Caenorhabditis elegans: one gene and its partner. The protein of the gene in region 1 purifies or fractionates together with the protein of each later gene. This does not show direct contact. Each region holds a gene or a part of one and is shown on either strand. Other genes may lie near its edges.

The links. The genes of interacting proteins can lie anywhere in the genome.
Region 2: the proteins of tba-2 (region 1) and psf-1 fractionate together in Caenorhabditis elegans (co-fractionation; one large-scale study listed by BioGRID). This does not show direct contact.

What each region holds. Positions count from the first base shown.
Region 1 is NC_003279.8:12,964,338-12,968,092, forward strand, and holds tba-2 (Tubulin alpha-2 chain), read right to left. Parts: upstream 1,935-3,755; 5' UTR 1,927-1,934; coding exon 1,234-1,926; intron 1,184-1,233; coding exon 663-1,183; intron 610-662; coding exon 477-609; 3' UTR 337-476; downstream 1-336. Other genes in the region: C47B2.2 (Phosphoribosyltransferase domain-containing protein), read right to left, coding at 67-233; pbs-2 (Proteasome subunit beta), read right to left, coding at 3,051-3,305, 3,364-3,755. UniProt on the Caenorhabditis elegans protein: Tubulin is the major constituent of microtubules, a cylinder consisting of laterally associated linear protofilaments composed of alpha- and beta-tubulin heterodimers.
Region 2 is NC_003280.10:9,967,133-9,970,265, forward strand, and holds psf-1 (putative DNA replication complex GINS protein PSF1), read left to right. Parts: upstream 1-1,540; 5' UTR 1,541-1,548; coding exon 1,549-1,647; intron 1,648-1,693; coding exon 1,694-1,758; intron 1,759-1,826; coding exon 1,827-1,902; intron 1,903-1,953; coding exon 1,954-2,043; intron 2,044-2,088; coding exon 2,089-2,298; intron 2,299-2,378; coding exon 2,379-2,444; 3' UTR 2,445-2,498; downstream 2,499-3,133. Other genes in the region: R53.4 (Putative ATP synthase subunit f, mitochondrial), read right to left, coding at 344-445, 492-735, 800-915; R53.5 (Peroxiredoxin-like 2A), read right to left, coding at 2,561-2,682, 2,727-2,946, 2,991-3,122.

The DNA of each region.
Region 1 (3,755 bases):
CCTTTCTTTAAATTTTCACCCATAAAATGTTTGAGGCTTCAGTCTATTCCCAGTCAAACTTCATACCTATCTTTCAAAATTGTCTGCAATTCAAGTATCTGTGGAGTCTTCTTCAAAAGAACAAAATTTGTTCCCTTCTCTTTCAGATTTGCCACCAACTGCCCGACACCGTCTTCCTCATCACCAACCTTTGGAATCACTGGAGCACATGTTCCATTCACATGCCCAGCCATTTCTGTAATCTAATACTGATCGATGAGCAGAACAAGCGTCTGCTGCTCAAATACTGTCGGCTTGTACATGTTTGCTCTGCGGCACTCAACTCGGTATAAACGTAAAGTGTTCCGACTTTCATTCTTTCTCTTTTTAACAAAAAACATTATATAAATAAAATACTTCATAATACATTGTTTATGACGATCGAACTGCAGTAATAAATTAAAAGTCAATCGCCAGGCAGTTGATTGTGGGAGCATCTAGTACTCCTCTCCCTCCTCTTCTCCTCCCTCGTTGGAGTCAGCTCCGACCTCTTCGTAGTCCTTCTCGAGAGCAGCCAAGTCCTCACGAGCCTCGGTGAACTCTCCTTCCTCCATACCTTCTCCGACGTACCTGAAAAGAAACACATTGAATATTTGAAAAGTATAGTTTAACGGGCAACATACCAGTGGACGAAGGCACGCTTGGCGTACATCAAGTCGAACTTGTAGTCGAGACGAGACCAGGCCTCAGCGATGGCGGTAGTGTTGGAGAGCATGCAGACGGCGCGTGGCACCTTGGCAAGATCACCTCCTGGCACAACAGTTGGTGGCTGGTAGTTGATTCCGACCTTGAATCCGGTTGGGCACCAATCGACGAATTGGATGGTTCTCTTGGTCTTGATTGCAGCGATGGCGGTGTTAACGTCCTTTGGAACGACGTCTCCTCTGTACAAGAGGCACACAGCCATGTACTTTCCGTGACGTGGATCACACTTGACCATCTGGTTAGCCGGCTCGAAGCAGCTATTGGTGATGTCGCTGACGGACAGAGCCTCGTGGTAGGCCTTCTCAGCAGAGATGAGTGGAGTGTAGGCGGCCAATGGGAAGTGAATTCTTGGGTATGGCACCAAGTTGGTCTGGAACTCGTTGAGATCAACGTTGAGGGCTCCATCGAATCTCAAGGAAGCAGTGATTGAGGAGACAACCTGTAAAAAGAGAACATTAGAATACAACAATCAAATTGAGCTCAACAAACCTGGGAGATGATTCTGTTGAGGTTGGTGTAGCTTGGTCGCTCAACATCCAAGTTTCTGCGGCAGATGTCGTAGATGGCCTCGTTATCGACCATGAAGGCGCAGTCGGAGTGCTCCAAGGTGGTATGGGTGGTGAGGATCGAGTTGTATGGCTCAACGACGGCGGTTGAGACCTGTGGAGCTGGGTAGATGGAGAACTCGAGCTTGGACTTCTTTCCGTAGTCGACGGAAAGACGTTCCATAAGAAGCGAAGTGAATCCGGATCCGGTACCTCCTCCGAAGGAGTGGAAGACGAAGAATCCTTGGAGTCCACTGCAGTTATCAGCGAGACGACGGATCCTGTCGAGGACGGTGTCGATGAGCTCCTTTCCGACGGTGTAGTGTCCACGAGCGTAGTTGTTAGCGGCGTCTTCCTTTCCGGTGATCATCTGCTCTGGATGGAAGAGCTTCTTGTAGGTTCCAGTGCGAATCTCGTCAACGACAGTTGGCTCGAGATCGACGAAGATGGATCTTGGAACGTAACGGCCGGATCCGGTGTCTGAGAAGAAAGTGGTGAACGACTCTCCCTCGTTCGTTGATTGAGTTGGCATGGTTCCATCGGGCTGGATTCCGTGCTCGAGGCAGTAGAGCTCCCAGCAGGCGTTTCCGATTTGGACTCCGGCTTGTCCGACGTGGATAGAGATGACCTCACGCATTTTCTTTTCTGAAAAAGAAAATTATAAAGTTTTAAAAGAGAAAGACAATTGTTATATGAGAACGAAACGATTGCGGTGAGAGCAGAGACGAAAGTGAGCCCAAATAGGGCCGAGAACGCACGAGCGCGCGCGCTCTCTCAACATAGCCCAACATCGGACACCGCGGTGGACAAGTCATCGATTGCAAAAAAATGATGACGAAATAGCGGGGCGCCAGTGGAGAGCGGATTGAAATGAGTGCAAAGGAGTGGACTGCAAGGGAGCCAAAACCCCGTTGTAAGAGACCCAGAGAATAACAATGGGAATTTCGCAATTCCCAATGGGATTACTTTGAGTCATTTTGAAACATACGTGCTTTCGGAGATTAATCAAGGAAGATGCAGCAGAAAACCGTCTTGTGAAATCGCAAAATGATTTGAAAATGTTGAATTTCAACTTGAAGAAGCTTCACGTCTTCAAAATTCGATTTTACGTGAAAACAAACATTTTTGAAAGGGCCGGAACACGGCCGAATGAGGGTAAACTATGGAAAACTGATAAAATAATGATAAAATTTGGAATTTTTCGGAAAAACGACACTGATTACGACGGGGAAGGCAGGGAAATGAGTCAGAACAAGATACAAAAAAATGTTTCGCGCCAATGATTGGTGGGTGGAGCGTGTTTGCTATATGACCTGCACATCTAACTCTCTGCGCGGCAATTCAAATCGGATTATTTTTTTCTTGTGAGTTTTGACTCTTCTCTCTTGACTTTTGAGAAGAATTCAGGTGGAAATTAGTTTTTCGCAGAAAGTTTTCAATTCAGATCTGGAAAATCTATTCATTTCGCAGTTTTTTCCTTTTAAAACCCGGAGAGTAACTTTTACTATTGGGAAAAACACTTGAAAGCGTTTTTCAAGTCATTTTTCCGGCTTTCAGTCCAAATTAAGACAACAAACAATACCAGTTTTAAGGAAAATAGACAGTTTATATTCGGAATTTATAAAACAAATGTGATAAGAACTGCCGGCGGATACGAAAATACCGAAAAAAGTAATCACCGACGACACCGAAACGGATGGAAAATCGAAAAAAAATAAATAATTGGGGGAAAGAATACACACATCGACAGAAGACCGCAATTTAGTGAGTGATATCCATGGACTCGACGACGTCGTACTTGTAGGTCTTGTGTTTCAGCACCTTGGTGGCTCCGGCCTGGAATTTGTAGACGAGGTCGTTGGGCTCTGGTCGCTTGCAGAATTCTGGCACAATTGGCCCCTTGAAGACGGTCTCGCTTGGCTCGATGATCACAAGATTCAAACTGTTTCCTGAGGCGTTGTCACCGTGCATACCGGCTTCCAGGGCGCGTTGGACAAGCTTCTCGGCTTCATCTTTCTGAAAAATATAATTATAGTATTTTTAGCGCATTGGAATTCAAAAATAGACTACTTACCGTCATATCAACCTTAAAATCACGCTCCAAAATAGTGATAGCTGCATATGATCCAGATCCTTGAGCTGTGAATGGGAAGGCCATTGTAGTTCCGTTGGCGGAGCACATATAAAGATGTGGGCCAGTTGGATCGACTCCTCCAATGAGCAAGTAGGCTCCGATGTATCCTTGATAGTTGAAAAGATGCTGCTTAGCTTGACGAAGAGCGGTGATCACACGAGCCTTGCGCCCGGTGTTTAATTCCAGAAGACGGAGATTTCCAGAGAGCATCTTTGTGACTTGATCGAGATCGGCGGCGGTTCCGGCTCCGCAGGCATAGATCGACTCAGTGAGCTTGTGAACCTTCTCGCAATGCTTATCGGCGATGATATTTCCGGCGGTGGCACGGGAAT
Region 2 (3,133 bases), on another chromosome or scaffold:
AAAATAGAAACATGAAGACGCGCTTCTATAGAATCGGAACTTTAGATCTACAGATTCAAATCTAAAGATAAAGCCGACAGCGAAAAAATCCAGAAAATCGCATCGGCTATCTAACCTTCTTCTTAATATTTCTATTCAACCGATCCATACACTATTTATTCTCTCATAGAAAAAAGACACAAACGGACAAAATCGATAGGGGACTAAATTAACAGAAGACGTCTCGAGAATGAGATGAATTGGGGGAAAAAAGAATACGAAAAAATCGGATGGCTGTTTCGTCCTCCCCCAGCGACAGAGTTTGTATGTGGAGCTTTGAAGAGTAGACGAAATCGGATGGTGTCTACCAATGGTACATCGTCTTCTGGAAATCGACGTAACGGTGAGACTTGACGAGCCAATTGAGGAACGAGTAGGCGAAGATGAAGCGGAAGATTACCTTGACCTAAAAATAAAAAAAATTAGTATTTTTTTTTTAAATTTAAACGAACAGTGTTATTGTAGACTGGTCCTGAGTAATAGAGGTTGTGGACTCTCCAGATATTGCGCATGAACTCGTTGTAGAAGGCAGATGGGGTCTTCTCACGACGAGCCATCCAGGCTGGAAGATCTCCTAGCTTCACATCCATGAACTTGGTATCAAGCTTTCCGTAGTATCTCCAGTGGCAGTATGGTCCGTGAACGTTCTTGTTCCATCTCTTGTCGAACAATCCAACCTCGGTCTTGTTCAACACGCTAAAAATTATATCGGTTATTTTTGGAAAAGAATTTTATTCGTCGTTTTCAGACAATGACAAACCGGTTGTAGAAGAACACTCCGACACGCTCAACGGCGCGAGAGATCGGGATAAAGATCGCGTCCGGAACCCATGGTCTGAGTTGAGTGTGTGGTGGTGGAGGACGGAACCAGGCCATAACTGAAAATTCGAAGAATTAAAAAAATAAAAATAAACCAGATATTTAATTAAATAGTGAGAATCGAGTAACGATTAAGCCAAATAATCAATAAACAAGAAATTAATTAGAAAAACAACCAAAACAGGCATTTTGTTCAATTTAGCAAATATACACATGAATATCAGGAAGAATATACATTTAAAAAAGAACGTTCCAGCTCCAATAATCCTTAACTATGTGCTAAATATTGTTTTAAATATAAACATGTATTTTTGTAAACATTGATCATTATCGACCATGGGATTACGTTTCAGTAACGCCTAAAACGAATTTAACTCAGAATTTAGTGATATATTTGATTTTAGAAGAAATTAATTGAGTAAATAATGAAAAATCGTCAATATTCCACTTTTAAAAAATGCTTAAGAAAAATGTGTGCAGTTTTCAACGGGCGGCGATACATTTCGGCTAATCGCTGCGAGACCCATGGCCGTGGCCGAGTCTACAACTAGTTCACAAGAGCCGAAATGGTGGGAAAGTCGAGGACTTTAAATTTAATGTTTTTTATTTTCGAATTTAATATTTAAAATCAAGTATTTCCCTTTAAAATTTTATTTTTCAAATCAACTTTTAATTTTTGCAGTTCAAAAAATGAGTTCCGGCGATCAGAATCGAGGAGGCGTCGCCGACAAAGCACTACAACTTGTTTTAGAGATGAAAAGAAATCCAGATGTATTACCGCCTTATAACGTAAAATTATATCCTATTTTCTGCTTTAAATTTGAGTTCTTTTCAGACAGAACTTGTACGCCAATGTTATCAGAAAATCGATGAGTTGTTTCAAAAGAATGCTGCCGTCGTGTAAGTGATACATTTCGGAAGCGTACCGATTCGTTCGTGACTTCTTGATTTAAAATCATATTTTTCAGTGAAAAAATCCGTGCAGGACTCCCTCATGATTCTACGCTTCTTCAACCTCGTTTAGCTGCAATGTGCCATATTCGAGTAAGTCGAGAAGGTCGATTTTTGAAATATTGTAGTGGTTCAATTTTCCAGCGTTGCATGATGGCCTATGTGAACGAGAGGAAAAACAGGATTCGATCATTCAGATGGAAGTATGGAGGTGCTCTTCCCGCGTCTGTTAGGGTAATCGGTGCACATGATTAAAATTTGTCAACCATTATTTTTCAGAACGCCCTCTGCGATGCGGAAATTCAGTTTTTCAATGAGTATTCGAGCACATTGGCAAGATTCCAAAGCAATCTTGGAGAAGGTGGTGTTAATCTGCTGCTTCATTCTGCACCACCGAAGTCACTTTTTGTACAAGTTAGAGCTCTCGAGGATTATGGAGAATTTGAAACGTCAGATGGAACTCAAGTTCAGCTGTCCAAGGATAGTTTGGTAAGTCTTCGAATTTTTCTTTATTTGAAAAAAGAGAAATCCCGTTTTTAATTTTTTAAATAATGTATAACATTTTTCAGCACTCCCTTCCACGCCAAGACTGCGAAATGCTGATACGTCAGGGTGTTCTCGAGCTTGTTCATTGACTTGTTGTCGGTATTTTGTTTTCAACCTGTGATCTGTATAAATAGCTTCTTGTCAGTTTATTTTACAAAAAAAGTAGCCTCGTTTAATTAATTAAGAAAACACATAAGTTAAAAAATTATTTCGACTTCTCCGAGAATTTCTCGACGGCAGCACGAACTTCCTTGATATCGGCAGCATCTCCCCACTCCTTCTCCAAATGAGTGAACACGATGTCGTTGTTAGCAATCAAATAAACACCTGAACAATTATTATGAAAAAATAATTTTAATAATTTTTCGTACCTCCCAAAAGTCTTCCCTCTCCTTCCATGTTTCCCTCGACCTTGGCTTTCTTTGCTTTGTAAACATTCGAGTAAGTTCCGAAACGAAGAAATCCCATCCAAACTGGCAGCCAGCGTTCGTTTGGACCGTAGAAAGTGCGATCAGTGTCCAAATAGACATCACCGCCGGAGAACCAAGACTTGAACTCATTTGCTCCACGAGTCTCGTGCACAACGGCGGCCTGAAAGCAAAGTTTTAATTTTTCTATTTTGAAGGAGCGCTTACCAGTTCGATTCCTTTTTCCTTGAGCAACGGGAGCAGTGTGTGCAATTCAGCAGCTTCACGACGGCACAGCATACATCCCGGACGACGTACAGCCATCACCATGATCGGACCTTTCTTGAACAACGAGTCGGCCTGAAACTTCT